Diceros bicornis minor: one gene and its partner. The protein of the gene in region 1 interacts with the protein of each later gene in a biochemical or structural test. Links are inferred from orthologs where the notes say so. Each region holds a gene or a part of one and is shown on either strand. Other genes may lie near its edges. The genes, in order: SATB1 and PIAS1.

Region 1 (10,687 bases):
ATGGTTACAGAGTACCAACTATGGCCTCCCAGGCTCCAGACTTTTCCTGTCCACTTTGCCACCAGAGTGATCTTTCTAAAGAGATTTGATGGTTATGCCCATCCTTACAACCTTTACTGACTCCTTATCTCATACATGAGACTCCTCATGTCTCATGTAGCAGATAGTGACTAGTGGTCCTTAATCTGATTTTGACCTCTAGACATGTTTCCCTCCTACACACAAGTACTTTAAAATGTGAATAAGTTCTCAACATTTAATATTTCCATTTTTCATATAAACTGAATTTGCAGCTTCTCTTTAAAAACTTGAAGATCCAACATTCGGCATCATTGGCATTGAGTATCCCATTTAGACAGAGAATATACTCTCCAGGTTGTCCCAGTCCCCACCACTGCTTATGGTCTCAACTTGGTCTGCTTTGCTCACATATCCAAGGTAGACATAAGAGTTTGCAATCCCCGATGGAGGGGATAACGTCTAAACTCTGGAGCAAGTCTACAAGGTTCTTCACAATGTGGAGCTCTCTGGTCTCATCCTTTGCAAAGACCTCATGTTCCAGCCACACTGAAATTCTTGTAGTCCTCTAAACAACAAGCTTTGTCCTCCTCAATGCCTCTATTCATGCTGGTTTCTCTGCTTGAAATATCCTCCCTCCATCTTCCTTTTCTGTCTAGAGGAGTCTCACTTATCCTCAAGAGTTAGTTCAATTCCTCTATGGAACTCTCCTAAATCCTACCAGAGTTACTTGCTTCTTCCCAAGTGTTTCCATAGCACTTTGTGCCTTTATTAGAATTGCAATGACTTTTTCTTTCTGTCTGCCCAATCATAAAATGTGTTTCTTGCAGAGGAGAACTCTTAATCATCTCCACTCTATTAAGGAGTGCCTGGCTTCTTAATAGAGTGCCTGGCTTCTAGTAGGTACATGATGAATATTTATTGAATGAACAAAAAGTTGGATGAATGAATACTTCCAAAAGAATTTTTTATTTGTGTTATAAGATTTTGACACTTAAAATAAGGGAAGTAACTACTCAAACCAAATTTCAAATTTTGATAATGATCATGACATCTTCAGATAATAGTTCTTGAAAGTTCCTGTTCATTGTACCCTTTCCAGAAAACAAGTAAATATACAAAGAGTAACTTAAAATTGATAGGGTGCCACACTTTAGGGGGAGAGAGCTGGGACTGCAGTGCTGTATTCAAAGAGAGAGTAGGTGGTGAAAGAAGCCACTTTGTGACTACTTTCTCCCTCTCTTATAGGGAGATAACGCTATATCTCCCTATAAGCTGGTGGCCCCTCAGGCAGTGTTTACCCTGAAGAATGGGACATTTGGGGCACAAAGCGGCAGGAAGAGATCCTGTAGCTGGAGGCTATCATGTGGACAAGGGTCACTACGAGTATGGTAGTCCTTAGAGCTGTGCACCACAGGTCTCTACTTTTGGGCACAAGGTAGGCTGCACCATCTGGCCTCGTTGTGACGATTCCATGGAGCCAGGCAACTAGTCCTGGCCAATTAGTTGTGAGCCCAAATGATGCATGTCACTTCTGCCCACAGCATTTAAATGCCAGCATGAGACCCACAGAGTGATCTTTATTTTTGCCATAGCAACATAAAACATTCAAGATGGCAACTGTTTCATCAGCCTAGGACCCTGAATATGGAGACATGGGACAGACCAGGTGACCTGCAATGTACTCATAGCATGACCAGGAAAACAACTTTTGCTGTTACAGGCCACTAAAAATCGGAATTGTTTGTCACTTTGGCATAACATAGTCTATTCTGACTAATACAACAGATTTCCTCTGTTTTGCTGCAAACGGCAGAACTAAGACTGGTGGTCAAAAGTTTCAGAAAGACCAGTTCTGTGCAATTTAAGAAAAAAGGTAATACAGTGTACAAAGATGGAATGAACTACTTAGGATCTTACTCATTCATTCCCACAATGCACATCGAACTCTACTCTGTGCTAAGTATTCTGTAGATAAAATCCCTGCCTTTATGGAGGGAAGTGGTGAGTTCTCCTTCACCCAAGATGTTTGCACTGACGGCCCCTAAAAGGTTTGACGGGACAAATTAACTTTAAAAATACCCTCCAACCTGGAGCTTCAGCATGTCTATTTCCTCTGGTCTAAAAGAGAAAAAAAATCTATTTCCTCAAGTATTCCTTTGATTCAAATCATTTACTGATCCATTGAGTTGTCTTTTCACATTTTAATGTCATTTTTCCAGCAAATAAGTGCCTTAAAGTCCAATGCTGTTTTATCCTTCCTCTATATCTTTCTTATCCTATTTAGTAGGCAATACTTTATTGTCTATTCTCCTAGGAAAATAATCAGCTTTTGACACTAGCTATTATTAGTGACCATCTGATATGTTTCCGGTTTACTTGTCTTTAGTAAGTTAGATTCCGACTTGTTAAAAAAATCTAGGTGCACAAATGTATTACCCTAATAACTTTCCGGCAAAGTGCCTTTTTCTTCTGAAAGAAGCCCTAGCCCTGTACTATTGAATTTGTGGCCAATTACAATATTTCATTAACATCTTAATTCAGTAAGTATTTAATGTATTCCTACTATGCGCCAGGGGGCAACGTTTACATAAGAGTTTATCAAGATATGTTACTTAATGTACTGTACCCACCATTACACAATTCTGTATTATAATAGAACCTATGAGTTCTCTGTATAAGACCAGTTAGGGGGGAAAAAAGCAAATTCAAAAGGTTGGGGCAAAATGTTCCCTTGATTTAATGCAGGGGAACATATCACACCTTAAATTCTAGGGGCTTAGTTGATAACTTGGGGGAGTAGAAGAGTATGTAAGAGTGTGTAAGGGAGAAAAAATAATTCTTTTTCTGTATTTCAATTTTTATTAAGCTTCATTTCAGGCTTTCAGAATTGGAGAATCAGCTGCCTGCTACAAGAAATTGCTAATAAGCAGTAGTAATTAAAGACTGAGAATTTATTCTTTCTGTTCCAAACCTGATGTCATCCCCAGATGGAGATATTGGTACTGGTTAGGCAATTCAGCATTTTGGTAAATTAAGGCAGGAGGATTTGGTGTCTCCTGGGTGGTGTGGAGGCAGAAAGTGTTCCAGTAAGAAAAATTTGTGTTTCATTTTCTTTGCCCATTGCAATCATTTATACTTTTTTCCTTTGCCTTATAGAACCAGGAGTTGAGGTGGGCACTTAAGTCTTAAAAATCAGGGCTAGTACTCTAAAAACACTAACTCACAAACTTCTTATATTCTTATGTCTTTGGAATTGTTGTCTCTGCATAAATGACAATCAACTGAAAAAGACGGATAAATTCCAGCAAATTCAATACTGATTGATAGAAAAGAACTGGCATGTCAGAAAGCAGCATGACTACACTGTGCTACTCTCCTTTATTTAGAAAAACCGCACAAAAATACAGCACAGTTGATGTGTTTGTTACCAGAACTTGAAAGTAGAATCAGCCACTGTGTAAAAGATAAAATAAGACTGCACGGATAACAGGATTTTCCCAGCATGCTGTACTTTGTTCATAGACATCTGATAGAAGAGGACCTAACAGAGCTTTTAGGAAAAACTGAATTCTCAGCCCACAGTCACTTTCCAGGAACTTCACTGCAAACAGTACTCTGCGCTGGCGGGATGGAGATCTTAGCAATCTCACTCCTGCTTCCATAGTTTCCTTCTCTCTAAATACAATTCTTTATGGGGACTTAATGAGAGAGCAAGCTTTGTGTGAAAGGAACTCAAGAAAGTGCAGCTTCTAAAAATATACCGAGGCGGCTCTACAGTCCTTATTATTACTGAGGTTTTGCCGTTCATGCCATGAACCTAACAACTCCACACACACACAAAGAAAAAAAGTAATGACTATGTTTTTTCTTTCTGCAATCCCCTAAACTTTGAGTAAACAGTAGTAATTTTCTGTTGTCATACTCAATGCAAATTTCCTTAAAACGACACAACACATAACAAAAGACCTGTTAGCAACCTTAGAGCTGGGGGAAGAATGGTAGGAGGAGAGGGGCAAAATTGACCTAGGTCCAGCTTCTCCTGAGCCTGGGGTGCTGACCCTCCAGTCACTCTGATCTTGCAGACGTTTTTGGAGTTTCAGTCTCCTTTTGGGAAGGTTCCCAGGCCCCTTCTCCTCTGCAAGTCCCCCAATCATTAAATCCTTATCTCTCGCCGTCTCTGCTTCCAGGTTTTTGGAGAAATTGGACCTCAGCTTAGGCGTCTTTTTTCCAGTGGGTTGAAGTACAGCTGCTGATGGGAGGATAAATATTAAATGGGCAGGGGTGCGGCGTGAGGGTCTGCAAGAGGGCCCCCTCCTCCTTCCGCCACGTTGGGATGCAGCGCTCCTGGATGGGGCGCTGAGAGGGGCGAGGGTGGGGTGAAAGGACATGGACAAGGCAGGCTGTAAGGGAAGGAGGCCCTCTAGGAAAGATCATCTCGGCTGAACATGACAAGAGAAAAAAATTGGCCCACATGCCCCTAGTGGGGAGCGATACATCCCACGCAGGCTGGTTGGGGGGGGCTGCATCGGGGCTTCTCACCTGACTTCCTCCTCCGCTGGCACACACACTACAATCACCACTTCCCCCCCTCACCCCCCCCAAAAAAAAGCTCAGCCAAACAACCAACAACAAGAGGAAGCCGCAGGCGGCAAGAGGAGGGGTGCGCGCGGTGGGGGCCCCGGAGTGGTGAGGGGGCAGGGTGGCGAGCGTCGAGAACCGCGCCGCGCACCCCCAGGCGCACTCCCAGGCGCCCACACTTACCCCTGGCAGCTGAGGGTCCGGTCTTCGGCGCCAATCCCAGTGCGCGTCCCCCGCCCGCCCTCGTCTCTCCGGCCCGCCGCCCCCCACGCCCCGGCCGGCGCGCTGGGAGGGAGCCTGGGAGCGGCGCGCGGCAGCGGCGGCGGCTCGGGCTCGGCTCGGCTCGGGCTCCAGCGCGCCTAGTGGTGCCGCCGGCCGCCGAGGCTCCACCGCCAGGGGGAGAAGCCGGGGCGGGCGCTGGGGAGGCGGGTTGGGCCCTCGCCGCCCCTCCGGCCAGCCCGCGCCGCACAAGCTCCGAAGCGGCGGCGACGCGGGGTCCGCCGAGCCCCCGGGCGCAGCGTGCCCGGCCCGAGGAGCCGCGGCTGGATGCGCGCCCCGGGCGGCTGCGGGCTCCCGCGGGGGGCGCCCCGGCCGCTCCGGTGCGCCTCTAGACTGCGGGCGCGGCGACCGCCGAGCCGAGAGCAGCTCCCGCCGGCCCCTTCCCCCTCCCGCCCCCGCCGCCGCCCCCTCCCCCTCCCCCCTGTTAACATCTCCTCCCTCCCCCCCTTCTCTTCCTTCCCTCGGCCCCGCGCGCTCGCTCGCTCGCTCCTCGCCTCGCTCTCCCCTTTAAACGCCCACTTCGGATGGGGAAAGAAGACAACTTGAAGTCAAGTTGCAATTAACTTCCGCGGCAGCCGCAGCTCCGGCGGCGGCGGCACAAGAGGCAGAAGCCGCCGCCTCGGAAGTCCGACGCCGGCGCGCCCGCCCGGGGAGCCGTTCCTGGTCTCCGGCCCGCACTCGACAGCCACCGCCGCCCCCAACGCCCATGCCTGAGTGAGTTGTGCTCTTTTGCCTCTCTTTTCCGCCCCCCCACTCTTGCTTTTTATCTCTGTCTCTCTCTTTTTCCGGAATCGATCCAAACTTCTCTGTAGCACCCACCCCCGGCGCCCCTTGTTGGGGCGGCTCGGCTCTCCTCTCGTGGGCGCCCGGCGGCAGGGGTCTTCCGAGCCCCTTTCTCGCGCAGCCGGATCCCGGAGGGGTGGGCCGGCAGAGTGAGGAAGAGCACCCGAGATGGGAAACTTGAAGATGCCATTCGTTCTCTCTCAGGGTGTGGACACACTAACACACCTGCCCGACAGACCCTGGCTGAACAAACTCCTTCAGGTCATCAGTGTGACTCCTTTTGGAAGAGAAAAGGGGAGTGGAAAAGACCGAAGTCAGCAAACGGGAAAAGGGAGAGCCTCTCTGTGCTCCCCGGAGCCGGGCTGGCAGAAGGGTGCCCGCCGGAGTAGGCTGGGGGAGTGGAAACGTTCCCCCGCCGGATCGCGAGTGAGCTCAGCATCCTTCCTCGGTCCATCTCCGCCTTCCTCCGCCCCCCCACTGGCGCGGCTGGTTGGGAGCGGTGGTGGAGAGGGGCCTGGGAAGTTTGCGGCAACTTCTCCATCCTGGGAGGCACTCGGGCGCCGGGGCGCTCAAGTTGGAGCCGGGAGTTTGAAAGCCGCGGGACTCCGCGTTTCGAGCCCTCGCCGGCTGTAGTGAGGTCCAGAAGGGGTTCCTGGCGTGCTTGGAGGTTATGAGTTGGGCTGGAGGCGGGAAGAGGTGCTGCCCTCTTTGCAGGGACCGAAACATCACAGGTGCGGCCTCGGAGTCCACACCGTGTCTCCCTCCTGCAGTCCCGACCCGAGCGCGGCGGCCTTCTCCGAGCGCTCCACTGAGTCTCCCGGGGCGGCAGAGCGTGGGTTTGGGCAACCACGATGACAGGGACGAAGCAGGCAGGTGGCAGGTCCGGGGAGTGACACGCGTGTACCGGGGAAGGGCACTGAGCGGGACTCTTGGGATGACCTCAGGAGACGGAGAGGGGCTTAGGGCTCTAGCTAGAGGCTTTGGCCCGGACCTCCACCAGGGCGTTGCAAATTTCATTTACAAGTGCCAACCACAGGATCGCCTCTCTAAGTACCCTGGTTGGCAACTTTGACCTTTGCGCCCTTCCTCCGCGAACTTTCTCGGCGGCGTTCCGGATTTCCAGGCAAATGTTTTAAGACTTGGACTCCCATGATAGTAAAAGAGAAGGGAAAACAGAAAGACGTCTTATTCTCAGGAGAGAACCTTTCTGCCCTGGCTGGGGTTCCATGCTTGCGTTCCTGGAGGCCAGGGGACCTGACTTTCCCAAGAAGAGAAGGAGGGGGTAAGAATGAGTCAAACGCTACTGCTCAGTGTCAGGTTTGTCCTAAGTAGTCCCTGAATCTACAGTGTTTGTGCTGCTGATGGAGTAACTCATCCCGTTGAAACTTTATTGAAATTTACACCTTATCTAAAGTGGATTTTCCTGAGATGTCAGGAATGTAAGATTTATTCTATAGTCAAACGTAGCTGCAAAAAACCCGTACTTTAAGACGGAAGAAAGCCAAGGTTGAGGTGTTTGCTCTAAAAACCTTTAATCTGTTGTGTGGTACCAGTGCTACGATTTAGCAGCGGTCCTTTATTTCTATGCGTATTATTTTAGTAGAACAGTAGTACATTCATATACTGGCTGCTCCAGTCTGCTGGCAAACATTAGCATTCAAGCTTACATTTTTGACAAATGTGCAGACAGGAATAGCATGAATAGGCATCTTAAATATTAACAACCTAAGCATCTGTTGTGAAACAAATTTAATATATTTACTGTGTTTTTCTCACATTGTTAGAAAAGGTTATAATAAGTGCATAATTTCAACTTTAGTTAGCAGAAGTAACTGGCTGTATCTTTCACTACCTCTCCAAGTGTTTAACACAATCACCAGACATAAATACTTTAATTAACTTGGTTAGGCACATTATTAAATACACTTTAGACAATGTGCATACTATGTAAAATGGAACAGTAGCAAAATATGTATCCTATTTGTGCACATTTTAAATGACTATACATTTTGTAAATATACCAAGCATGTTTATTCTTCATCTCCATTTGACACTTATTACTTCATATTTTTTCTAATGGAAACAATATTTTAAATGTAGAGTTGTTCGGTCATATGTAATACATAATATGTAAACAGTAGCTATAAAATACAAAGCATTGTTAAATTTGAGTATGGCTACATGTAACGAGATTATACAAGAGAAATAAAAATCACTGCTCAATTTTGTATTCCTTTCTGAATAATGAATACAAATGATGGATGAAAAAACAACAAATAGGGATTTCCCTCCTAAAGTAACTAGTGCCTTAAAATGTGTGGGGGATGGGGGTGCGGGGCAAGGGGAAGGGGAAAAAAGAGATAGAGAAGACCTAAAGAACTTAGAAAAGTCTGAATAGTTATTTCCAGAATCAATGCATTCCTCATTTTCCCACAAGCTGAAATATGTAATAAATAATAGTGCTTTGTATATAAAAGTATTCAAAAGGAATGCCTTTTGTTCAGTTGTTGTAATAAATTAATATATTCTTTGGTTGATAATCTACAAAAGTAGTTCTTTTGTCTCACAGCATCTTAAACAAGAACAACAACAAAATGAATGTTGGTTGATTTCTGCAAGGAAGTCTGTTGCCAGCTATATGAACCTGCGATTGAATAAGATATGATATGCTGAGTGATGGTTAAGAAAGATTACATTAAGTTAGCAAAGACTGAAATATCTGGAGGAGATTTTCAATTATTTTTTCATGTGACAGGTTGTGGATTGTAAATTAGGCCTAAAAGTTCAGGTGACAGCCACCTGTTCCTCATTATTGTAAAAATCTTTTGGTTACAAACACTATTAAGCTAAACACAACATGGATATACAGCAGGGACTCTATAAAGCACTCTAGTGGTTTTTCATCTGCTCTGTAAATTTCCAGAAGGGCCATACATAGATATGCCCTTTACACAAACCATCATTTCGTCCAAGACGTGTCGTTTTGGATGACTCTAATATTGTATTAGTACTGGGATTGATGAAGTATGTAAAATAAATGCATATGACTGAATCAATCTTCAGACTGTCTAGACATGTTGTAGCTGAATGCAAACATATTTCTTAAACTCCTCTGTTTCCTTTATAATCCATTGATGACTTATCAGAATTTGTTCATATTTTAAATAGAAACCTCCCCAAATTACCTTTTATAGTTTTTAGATAAGGTGAGTTCCCATTTTAAATGACGCCATGAAATATTTTCCTTGGTACTTCTATATAAGGAGAAAATTAGTTGCTCTATACCGTCATAGCTTTGTGGTATATGGAAAATGGGAAGAAAACCACATTTTACATGAACGCTGTTAGGAATGGTATCATCATTTGATGTTCAAACTTGCCACTTCTCTCGGGAGAGTTCAGTAATATTTCTATTAGAGTTCAAGAGTGTGATTTGATTTTTATGAATGGTTTACCTTTAGGTATTTCAGAGAGCAGAATAAGCATACATATTGAACAGACCTGAGCAGCACAAGGTTGCAAAATATTAAAGGTGCCAGTTGCTTTTAATTAGCAAAGGAGGAGGATTTTGAGTAAATTCAGTAACTCAGATTATTAAATTCTATATTTAAATATGTTCTTTGTCTTTTGGTTTTGTAGAGTTTATGCTTCTTACATTAAGTATTCATTTTTAGCATTTATGATCAGATTACAGAACAGTCATTACTCTTGCTTTTCAAATTGATTTGGTTTTGAAACTCGGAAACTCTGGGATGATTTTATTGAATTGGTTTACATTTTGACAGAACAGAGTTAAGTTAATTAATAGATCAGGCACGAAAAATCATCCACGGTAGGGTGTATTTTCTGGTAAAATGAAAGTTATGTTTCAGCATGATGAGCATCAGGCTTCAGTAATCTGTTCCTCGTGTGGAATGAACACTTCCTACTTCGAGCTAGCAGGCACCTACTGTTTATTTACGCTGCATTAAGCTGACAGCTCAGCAATCAGAGGAAAAATATTACTTACCTTCCTGAAGTAAATACCAGTTTATAGGTTAGTGCACGTATTTATATTCCTGTCACCACTAAATAACGGCTCTGTCTCCATTTTAATATCTACCTGTACTATAATCCAGGGCTTCAGACTCTTCCTGGTTGGGGGTAGGGGTCGAGAGGAGTTTTTCTGATCATTTTCCAGTGGCAAAACTTTAAAGAAGAGTAATTTCATTTTATCATTTCTGTCATGTGAGAACCAGTTGAGAGAAATGTTAGGCACTTTTATTTTACATACCTCAACCATAACATCAAAACTCCAAAAGAATCCACATGCCACTTAAAATAGTCATCTTAGAGCAACCTCAGGACATATATGTTCAAACACATTCAACTGTGTATTTGCTAAATTAACTTTCTACAAAGTTCCAAATAGATTACTTAAACTATTTGATTACTTAGATAATAACTTTGATAAAGTGTCTTCCCTTCCAAGTCTTAGATGGAATGTTTCAGTTTTTAATGGGGATCTGCAAATATGAGTACAAAGTGGGGCTCATGGATTGATTGATTGATACTGTTAGCTTTCCTCTGAAAATATTCTTGTCTCTTTTATTTGTCTTCTTTTAATCTGCCAACCTTAAGATAAGGGAGATTTCAACTTCCTTATAATACTAAATGCATTTTTTTAAAAATTAAAAGCCCCTTCTCTTTCGAGACCCCAGAGAACATCAAAATACTGTTCAAGTTGAATTCCAAAACATGATTAACTTGAGAAAATGCTTATTTTTACTTATATTCCATAAATAGCTCTTACACTCATCTACACACAGTTGTCAATCTCTAATCACATATTCCATTGACATCGGAGCAAAATGTGGTCTTAATACAGCATATAAATCAAATCTGTTACACAAGGTTCTTCTTCACTATACCAAAGAAAAAGTGTCTACTATGGTAATTTATATATCATTCCTAAGTGCTATTCTCAATGGTAAGTCTATTTAAACTTGATGTCTTCATCGAGTGTGATCAACACATTAACACACAT
Region 2 (10,873 bases), on another chromosome or scaffold:
TTATGTTATTTCACTAATGTTACATAAGTGGAATCATGCAATAAGCATCCTTTGGGATTGTTTTCTTTCATTCAGCATAAGGTCCATGAGGTTTATCCAAGTTGTTGTGTGTATTCATAGGTTTTTTTTTTTTTGTGAGGAAGATTGGCCCTGAGCTAACATCTGCCAATCCTCCTCATTTTTGCTGAGGAAGACTGGTCCTGGGTTAACATCCATGCCCATCTTCCTCCACTTTATATGGGATGCCACCATAGCATGGCTTGACAAGTGGTGCGTCAGTGCACGCCCGGGATCCAAACCGGTGAACCCTGGGCCACTGCAGTGGAGCACACGCACTTAACCGCTTGCGCCACTGGGCCGGCCCCCCATAGTTTTGTTTTTTAATTGCTGAGTAGTATTCCATGGTTTGGATGTATAACAGTTTGTTTAGCCATTTATCCATTAAAGGAGATGTGGATAGTTTCCAGTTTGGGGCTCTTATAAATAAAGCTGTTATGAACATTCTTGTTCAACCTCTAGTGTGAAAATAAGTCTTCAGTTATCTGGGATTAATGTCCAAGGATGCAACTGTTGAGTTGTACGGTAAGCACATTTTCAGTTTTCAAGGGAACTGCCCACTATTTTCCAAAGTGGCTAAACCATTCCTACCAATAATATATGTGTGATCCATATCTAAGAAAGCTATGCCTAACCCCAGGTCATGGAAATTTACTCCTAAGTTTTCTTGTAAGTGTTTTATAGTTTTAACTCATATTTAGGTCTATGATTCATTTTGAGTTAATTTTTATGTGTTGGGTGAAGACCACAATAGTTTTAGGGTCCCACAAAAATGCTTTAAATCTTTAAAACCATAAGAAAAAAATAAGTATACTTGCTTGGATTACATTAGTCTTTATACTAATGTAGTTGTAAAACATAATTTTTAATATTTTTTTATGGAAGAAGAGGCCTCTGAGATTCCTTCTGACACCAAATACGTGTTGTCTTTTCATACCAATTCTCCAGCACCAACTGGATATCCAACAAGTCAATTTTGACAGTAACTCCAGGAGTAAGTTCAGACCCCCTAAGTTAAGGGCTCAGTCCCACAAGACTACCTCTACTTCAGATACCAGTCACCAGGCCCATGGGTCACTTGTACTTCTGACTGACCAAATTTGAGGATTCCTACAATCCCTTCCTCAGGTACGATAATTCATTGGAATGACTCACAGAACTCAGGAAAACACTTTACTTATGTTTGCTGGTTTATTATAAAAGAAACAACTCAGGAACAGTCAAATGGAAGAGATGCATAGGGCACAATACGGGGTCCGGGAGTGGGGGTGGGGGAGGGGATGCAGAGCTTCCATGTTCTCTCTGGCACTCCCCTCCCAGGACTTCCCTGTTTTCACTGACATCCCTTTAATCACGTTTGGTCTTTCTAGTGACCAGGCCCCATCCTGAAGCTATCTAGGAGCCCCACCCTGAGTCACTCCATTAGCATAAACTCAGCTGTGGTGGAAAGGGACTCATTATGAATAACAAAAGACAGTCCTACCACTCAGGAAATTTCAAGGATTTTAGGAGCTCTGTGCCAAGAACCAGGGACAAAGTCAAATCATGTTTTCTATTATACCAAAGTCCCTAGAAGGCAAAAGTGCCTAGGGCCACAAAAGTCATAATGTGATCCTATCAATTAAATAGCTTTCCCAGCAGTCCAGTTGTGAAATTATGGCAGCTTGGGGTAGGGTGATGGCAGTCGAGATCCAGTGAAATGGACAGGCTTGGGATATGTTTTAGAGGCAGAGGACTGGCTGATGGATTGGACGAGAGAGGTGAATGAAAGAGAGGAACCAAGGATGATTTCCAGATTTTTGGCTTGAACAACTGGATGAATGATGGTACCATCCACTGGGAACACTGGGAAAGGAGCAGGATTAGGGGGGAAATCAAGGCTGTCTTTGACACGATGAGTTTGAGATGACTATGAGTCATGAAGTAGAGATATTAAGTAGCCATTGGATTTATGAATCTGAGTTGTGGTGGAGATAGATGTCTGGGCTGGATGGAAATTTGAAAGTCATCAGTTTATAGACTTAAAGTCAAGGAGTTGGATGAAATCACCTGGGGAGAATAAAATAGAGAATAGGGTAAGGACTGAGCCCTGGAGCACTGAAACATTTAAAAACTGAGCCAAAGAGGAGAAATCAGCAAAGGATTTTGAAAAGGAGGCCCAGCGAGGGGACAGGAAAATCAGGACAGTGAGATGTTGAGGGAAGTTCAGGGAAAAAAGTGTTTTAAGAGAAAGGATGCTTGTCAGTTCTGCTGAGAGTTTAGTTTAGATAATAGAGAACTGGCAATTGGCTTTGGAAACATGGAGATCAACAGTAATCTTGATAAGTGATCAAGAGGGAAGTCATAGCATCAGAGTAGGCTGAGAAGTGAATGAAGTGAGGAAGGGAACAAGCACTGTAGAGAGATCTTGAAAAACCTTTCTGAGAATTCATGCAGTGAAGAGGGCAGAGAGATAGGGAGTTCTGGAGGCGATTTTGAAGTCAAGGGAGGTTTGTTTCAGATGGGAGGAATTACAGTATGTTTATATACTGATAGGAGTAATCTAATAGAGAAGGGAGAAAGCAATGGTGCTGGATGGTGAGGTAATTGTAGGAGTAAAATCCTTAGGAATGTGGGAGGCAAAGGAATCCAGGTCACTGGTGGAGGGACTGACCTTCACAGGCACAAGGACACTTCATTCATAGTAACTCAAATGTTACTACGCCAATAAGAGTAGTTTTGACGGTGAGAAGATAAGGGAGTTCATGTTATCTGTTATCTTTTAATTTTTTCCATGAGATATGAGGCAAAGTTGAGGAGCAAAAAGTGGGGTTGGAGAGGAGATAGGAGGCTTTTAGTAGAGAGGAAAAGGTGTCAAATAATTCTTTCATCACGTCTACTTAAATGTCAATTTAGAGGCGAAAGCTCTCTCAGGATTAAGTACATCTCCTCCCAGCCCCTTTTTCTCTCACTGGACGGTTCATGCTTTTCAGGTACTCATCATCCTTTGTAACTGTATCTTTATAGGTTCGCGTGTCTGTTCCCCCATTACAGAACTACAGGAGGGCAAGGACTTGGTTGTATTTAGTTTCCCAGTGTATATATAGCCCTTAGAAACAGGGCCGGTACAAAGTCACTAAATAATTACTTGAAACAAAGAAATTAATGAATGAAAGTTTTCAGAATTTTGTCTTAGGCCACTCGTGTTAAGTACTTGCTTGTGCAAGTCACTTTTCCTCTCTGAGCTTTATTCCTGAATATATACCACGGGAACAGTAGTCTCTTCCCTGCCTACCTCACCGCGTTGTCATGAGGAGGATCTGAGCTAATAAACCTGGAAATACTTCATCAAGTGATTCTTAAATGTAACTGATTGTTATTTTTAGCCCACGTGTAGCCTCGCAGGTAGCAGGTGCTGAAAAGGACTTGCTGATTGGGGGAGGGCGTATTATTGTTCCCTGTGCCTGCGGAGGGGCGGGGCTCAGGCCAGCAGCCCTCCCGCTCCGGCCTTTCCCTGGAGGCGCTAGCCGGGCGAGGATGGGGGGCGGGGAGGCCTAGGAGGGAGTAACTGTCAAATCTCTCCGCTTGGCGCCATTATTTAAATAGTACGTGTCCGTGTCGCAGCTGTACGTGCCCAGGGCGGGGCTCCGAGCGCCCGGAGCGAGGCGGAGGCCGGGGGCGGGCCGAGGAGGCGGAGGGGCGAGAGGGGACGGGCCGGGGCGGGGCCAGGCTGGCTAGAGGGGCGGGTCTAGCGGCGGCCCCCGGCGAGGTTCACTGCGCTTGCGCTGACAGACGCAAGATGGCGGACAGTGCGGAACTAAAGGTAAAGCGCAGCTCGAATTCACTTCTAATATTCGGCCGCGGAGACGGCGCCGCTGGTGCCGAGGGGGATGGGTCCGACCCTGGGGGGCCGCTCGGGCTTGACTCCATCCAGGCCTGGAGTTGTAGGGCGGAGCGGCGCGCCCGGCCCCAGCTGAGGGGGCCCGGCAGCGGCGGGCCGCGGGCCCCGGGTGCCTCGGGGGCGCTGACGGGTCGTCCCCGGCGTGTTATTGTTGTGGGCGCCTCTGGCGGGGGAGGCGGGGGAAGAGATCGCCAGTGGGGAGGTGGGGGCCGCGGCCGCCCCCGGGTCTCGGCGTGCTCACCTTCTAGGCAGCCTCCCCGCCCCCCCATGGGGAGCGGGGGCTAGGGCAGGGTGTTCGTGTCGGGGGGATTGGGAAAGCTCCCCGCCGCCGCTTCCTCTTCCTCCTTTGCAGTCCCGGGCTCCTGTCAGGCGCTCGGCTCAGACCCCCGGGAACTTGGCTCCGGCCGCCCCGCCCCTCCGTGGCTCCCTGCGGCCCCCGCCCCGGACTCGGCTCTCCCCGGCTGCCTGCCTGTCAGGAGGCGCCCGGGGTGCCCCGCTTGTGCGCAGCGCGATCCTGGGGCGATGGGGTGGGGATGTGAAGAGAAGCTCCGGGAAAGTTTAGTGAGCCTCGGGCCGGCGTTGGGGTTCGGCTGAGGGGTAGCGGGGGGGTGTGCCTGGGCGGGACGTTACTATTTCTCTCTGATTCTTGGTAAGCGGGGGGTAGAAACCCCCTCGAAGGGTGTGTGTTGGGAAGCAGTGGTGGGTGGTGGGAAGCACCTACCTCTCTCCTCTTTTCCTTCTCTTCCTTTGGCTGGTGCGGAGGGTAAGAGGAGCCTGTCGGGGTCTCTGCACACACCATGATGGCGATGCTGTAGCTGATGGAGGTGAATGGTTCGTGTTTATATCCCCCCGTTGCCTTTTGTTTGTGGGGACATCTTGCTGGCCATGTTGATTTGAACGAAATTCTCCCGTCATCCTACTTCAACCCCCAATAAATAGAACGTTCCTCCGTTCCTCTCAACTGTGCCAATTACTCACGCCTCGCGAAATTGGATGAAAGGGTGCCCCCTTTTCCCCGCTCATCCTCCCGCCCCAATCTTCTTTACCTGATGATGGCTTCTTTACCGAGGCAGATATAGCACTACACAAGCAGTTGGGGGAGGAGGGTGGAACCCTTGTGATTGGATTGTGACAAATGGGGCTCCGCTTGAATAATTTTGGTTTAGTAGCAAGCAGTTTTTAACTAACGCGTATTATTTCGAGGCTCTGAATGCGATATTCCCTACTCTGTGGCTTCCTGTGTGTGATCCAAGCAGCTGGTTGTGTCCTGACCCAGAGAACTGACATCTCTGTCAGAGTGGAGATTGGGATATACAGTTGTAAATCTTCGGGGAGAGTCCTCTTTTTATAATTAATAAAAATTGTGTAAAAAATTTTCTCCGTTATAATGAAGCGACAACTTCTAGAATAACCAAACGCCAGGTTTGTTTCTGGAGAGTTTTTCTGTGGAAAGCGTCGCTGAAAGATCGTTTTCCCCCAGTAATTTTGCAATTTTAACACTCCACAATTTGTATATTAAGGCGCTGGCTTTGAGTGTCGTTCTTTTTAAATTTACTGCTAATTACAAATAAATTTAAGGGAGAGCAGATTTAGGATGGTTGGTTTCGTTTTTTCCTGTTTCAAACTAGTGACCGAAGTGAAAAAGCCTCAAGAATTTGAATATTGGCAGGTAATTAACTCTTGAAATAAAAAAGTCCACAACTTTAAGATACATGTTTTCTATAGTTTTATTCTTGAAATGTAGTCCCTATGTGGCTGTAATCTTTGCCTTCTAATATTTATTTTGTTAGGCATCCTTTTGAATGATAGGTAATCAGTTCTGTTATACGGGGACCACAGAGTAAAGCTGAAAAGCTTGTGCTGGCTATATTGTCACTCTTGATGCTGTCCAAAGAAACTGATGTGGAAAGCACATGCTGGGAGATTTCTTCCTTTGTTCTTTCTCATTTTAAGAAAGTGCCTTTAGGGATAGATCAGATCCCTGGTGTGAGTCTTGTTAGGTAAAGTTTCTGTTTGCTAAAATGAGCCTGTATCAGATAAACGCTAAGAACTTGGGGGAAAGATTATTTTTCTAAAATTGGTCTCCTTTTTTGCTCTTTCCAAAATCTACTTGAGTTTTTCCAGAGGAGTTGTTTTCTACTTTTATGTTCCTGTTGTACATTTTTTTCAAATTATAATAACTGTTTTGACATTCAGGTCTGTCATTGTGTGTGCCCAGTACTTTGAGGAGGTGTGATAAATTGCTTAGCTGGTGATAGCTGTGTTAAAATTTTTGTTAATACTTGATTGTGGTTAGATTTGCTGTTCTTTTTTTTGGAGTGGGGAGATCATCTTAGGAACCCCTACCTTAGTTATTTGAGAATGTGTGTATATAATTTTCTGTGCAGTAAGCTTTGGAAGATACTGCTTTTGGAAATTGTATTTTCTGGTGGTTTTTTGTTTGTGGTTTTTGGAGGTAAATAGCATTTATTCCTAATAAGGTAGGAAAAGAGTAAGAATTAAGAAAAACCCAGATTTTTTTAAAGTTTTAGGTGAAAATACGGTACTTCCAATGAATTTCCAACTATGAGGCTTTGAATAAATACATTGACTTTTTTGGTATCTTAATTCACAACCCATGTTTCATTTTGCTGTGGATTGTATTCATAATTATTTTCCTCATGGTCCATTTTTGAGTCCTTGTAAATCTATAACAAATCTGCAAAGATCAGATGGGAAAATGGATAGATCTGTATCCCCTGTAGTATTAGTGCAAGCTGCAACACTTAAAGATATTGCCAATAAAAATTAGATTAAGAGTCATGCATATCAAAAAGAGTTCTCGGTGTATATTTGTTTATATACCCATAAATGACATTTGTAAGAATGTAGAGAGTGAACTTTTTGTTATGTTTAGGAATTTAAAAGCAGGAGGGTGTGATGACCAGATGATCTTGGAAGTTAATAATCTGACAGCTTCATGTAGCTCCTCTTAAAGTACTTTTTTAAAAAAAAATCACAAATGTTTTTTGCTTTAAAACTCAAAGCAAGTTGTATTGCCATTTTAACTCACAGGAGGAAGAGTGGGAAGGAAGAAGTTCTTCATTTCAGTGGAGCAAATAATGGATTTCAATGGGAAGAGAAACCGCTTAAAAGTATAGTTTTAAAAGTATCTATAAGCGTGTCAGTAAATTCTGTTGTCATATTCTGCCTCTTTATTTTCAAGAAATAGCCACTTAATTTTGCTCTTTGTGGTGTCATTGTTTGCTTTTATTTCAGATAGAAGCAAGTAAATCTGACAATTTATTCACAAATTTGATTTGAATCTCCATAACTTGCTTTTGTCAAGTGCCACATTTAGATGGCTTTTGTTTTAAGTCACCATTCTTATGAACAGTATTTGAAAACATTGTATAAAACACAGTTTTTAAGCATTTCATATAATTGTTTGGAAATTCCGCCTTTTCCTCCGCCGTTTTCTCTGGCTGATTGTATTGTCTTTCTCTTCAAAGAGTCTCTTGTAATCCCTGTTGATTGCGGTAGTGCTGAGTGGTGAGGCCATAGCTGATTAACCTTGGGTTTCTCCTGGTGAACTCCATCAGCATGCTGCTCCAGGGTTCTTGCTGAGAGTTTTGAGTTTAGTGTAATTTGTGCCCTTTCTTGCTGGTAACTAGGGATAAGAAAATAAAATGGCTCGTGGTTGTAGGGGGAACTGAGAGGAAGTATCTCAAGTTTCTGAAAAACTGGGTGTTTATGATGAATGTAGCCTTTAAAAACAAACAAAACTCCTGATTACTTCATAGGATTGATTGTAGTGTTTTCTGAAGTATTCTGTGGCATTAAGCACCTTGTTATTTCTTTTTTTAATATTTGAGTAATATTTATACAGTACTTGACAGTTCATAGTCTATCACATTATCTCATTTGGTCTTCCTAACAGTTCTTTGAGGTATAAAAGGCAGGTAATATCTCCCTTTTTATCCATGCAGTGAGCCCAGAAAGGGTAAGTGACTTGTCCAAGGTCATATAAATAAAAGTGGCAGAGACTTAAACCTAGGTCTTGTGATTTCAAAACTTTGTACTGTAGGCTGCCTTAAAGGTGCCCTGTCAGTCCTGGAGCTCTCTAGGGTGCCTTGCTCACAAAGAATTCTAGTTATGTTGTTGCTAATACTTTCCCTCTTGCTCTATGCCAGGGTATTTTTGGATATTCCTTGGGCTTTTTGCAAGGAAGATTTTGGAGTTTGTTAGTTGGAATCATAGACATTAATTCATGCAAATATAATTTTGCTTGGGAAGATTTCAGAGAATACTGAGAAGTAAGCAGAAAAATAAACAGCACCTGTAATCCCAGCATTTAGAAATCTCATGGTTAACATCTGGGTGTCTGTCCATTTAGACTGTCTCTCTGTGAGCATCTCTCTGTGAGCATACGTGTATGTATGTTCATCACAAAAAGGGATCATACTACTCTTTATTTGTAATCTGCTATTTTCTTGGCTGCCTTTCCAGGTAGTAAATATAGGTCTATATGATCATTTGAAAGGTAACATTGTATTTTATTCAACTAGTCTCTTGTCATTGAACAACTAGATGATTTCCACTTTTTTGCTATTTTAAACAGTTTCTTGACAAACAGCCTGATACAAAAGTTAGCAAATGTTTTATTCTAACTAAATATATTGATATGACAGAACTTTTTTTGTGCTTCAGAGAGCAATACAAATGGTATTTTGATTACATGAAGTGTTGTGAGTGAAATAAGTTAATTCTTTATTTCTTCATTGTCTATACCTTTATTGTTTCAGTTTCTATAAACCTGTCAGATAAGATTATTGAATTATGGCAGAGATAGAGTTTATAAAATGTAAGTAAACATTGCTTCTGAATCAGAACATTTGATAAAGTATGAAATATATTATAGAATAACATGTATAATTTATATTGAGTATGTTTGATTTTGGAAATTATAACACAGTAACAAATATTGCAAGTTTATGTGCTCATCTGTTTTTAATTAGCGTTAAGAAAAAAGCATTGCTGAATGTTAATATGAAGAAAGTGGATATGAGAATTTGCCTTACTCAGATTTTTAATCTCAAAGCAAAGTGTTGCCATAGTATTTGGTAGGTAACATTGTTTCGAGGAGGCTTTTATAGAATGGAGGTTACATAGGCAATGAAAACATTCTTCTATTTCAAGAAGGAAGCTTTATGGATTAAATCAATTAATAAATGCATATGTGAATTGAGTTAAGGATATTATTTGTGCAGCATCTGAAAAGTACTGCACTGTAGAAGGAACAGTTGATGAAATTAAGGGTGTGACATTGACATGTTAAATTTGGTCCTCACCTACACTTGCATTTATGGAACAAATTGTATCATTAGGATTTTTTTTTTTTTTAGAACACAGTTTGTATATTTATTTATTGTCTTTTTTTTTTTTTTTTTTGGAGAAAGATTGTTGCTGAGCTAATGTCTGTGCCAGTCTTCCTCTATTTTGTATATGGGTTGCCACCGTAGCATGGCTTGACGAATGGTGTAGGTCCACGCCCAGGATTCAAACTGGTGAACCCTGGGCTACCGAAGCAGAGCATGCAGACTTAACCGCTATGCCACCGGGCTGGCCCCATTAGGATTTTTTTTGAAATAGGGGATAGAGAAATTTTAAAGAATTTAGCTGGCCTTTACTGTCAATTTCAGGAGTAGTACTAATTGCCGTGCAATTTTGCTACTCTCACTGCAAGACGTTTGTGACTATACTTTCCCTTCCATGTTAAAAATTATGGAACTCCTATTACTTTTGATTCCCTCTCCTCTTGGTTTCAGTGGTGTCACATGAAAAGATAACTCCCCAAACCCCTCTTCCCCTCAGAATTTTCTGGTAAATCTTCATTCTTTGCATGAACTTCTAAAATTCATCAAAATGAAAAAACCACCTTCTTTTCTTTTCTACTTCACCTTAGATCAAGCAAACAAAACAAACATAAACCCTTTGAACATTAACTAGTAATTTTGAAATATCAATAACTCTCACAGGACTGTTGCAAATGTTCCTATTTTTTAAAAACTTCATCTCTTCCTTACCTTTCCTGCTATTCTTCTCTGCTTTCAATTTCCCCCCTTTGGTTGCCAGGTTAATTTTCCTAAAACATTCTTTTCATCCTGTCACTCCAATGGCTTTCCATCAAAAACAGGATAAAGTCTTAGCTCTTAGTTTGGTATTCAGGATTTTCTATAGTCTAACCCCAGTCTACTTTGTGTGTGTGTTTTGTCTCCTCCACTATACATATAGCAAAAGTCCTTAACTAAAACCAGAGCTGTTAGTTTCCTTCTTTCGGTTGACTAGTGTTCTGCTTTGTACACCACTCCATTCTCCCCCGTCCCTACCCTGTGGATACAGTAGGTGCTTAAGATATATTTGTCAAATGAACAGATTACGTTCAGGGTTTGTTTCTCTTAGTGAAGGGCAGGTGCACATGTCTATATGACAGTCTAAATTGTAAATGTTCTGAGATAAGGTCATATCCTCACACTTTTTTTCATGGCTGCTTCTTAGATAAACTTGAATAATATTAAATCCAGGATAATTTATGAAAGACTGTTTTAGGTTTACCTTTTACATTTCTTTAAGTTATATAGATAATAAATGAATACATTTCTTATTGGAATGATATAGCAGTAGGTAGAGTAAAATTTTAAAGGCCTTCATCATCTTCATCCCCTCCCCCCCCAGGCAAACACTTTGGTATCTTTTTTTGGGGGGGGCAGCATTACAGCTTTATTGAGATATAATTTACATCACATACATTTAAAATGCACAATAAAATGGTTTTTAATATATTCACAAAGTTGTGCAACCATTACCACGACAATTTTACAATATTTTTCTTACCCCAAAAAGAAATCCTGCACCCTTCAGCTTTCACTCCCTTTGCCCACAGCTCCACCCCATCCT

The links.
Region 2: the proteins of SATB1 (region 1) and PIAS1 form a complex in vitro, tested with the Homo sapiens proteins (2 studies listed by BioGRID, with this or other methods). The link is inferred for Diceros bicornis minor from reciprocal best matches to the Homo sapiens genes SATB1 and PIAS1.

What each region holds. Positions count from the first base shown.
Region 1 is NC_080741.1:24,479,532-24,490,218, reverse strand, and holds the start of SATB1 (DNA-binding protein SATB1), read left to right. Parts: upstream 1-5,395; 5' UTR 5,396-5,592; intron 5,593-10,687. UniProt on the Homo sapiens protein: Crucial silencing factor contributing to the initiation of X inactivation mediated by Xist RNA that occurs during embryogenesis and in lymphoma.
Region 2 is NC_080744.1:61,951,727-61,962,599, forward strand, and holds the start of PIAS1 (E3 SUMO-protein ligase PIAS1), read left to right. Parts: upstream 1-6,539; 5' UTR 6,540-7,038; coding exon 7,039-7,071; intron 7,072-10,873. UniProt on the Homo sapiens protein: Functions as an E3-type small ubiquitin-like modifier (SUMO) ligase, stabilizing the interaction between UBE2I and the substrate, and as a SUMO-tethering factor. Catalyzes sumoylation of various proteins, such as CEBPB, MRE11, MTA1, PTK2 and PML.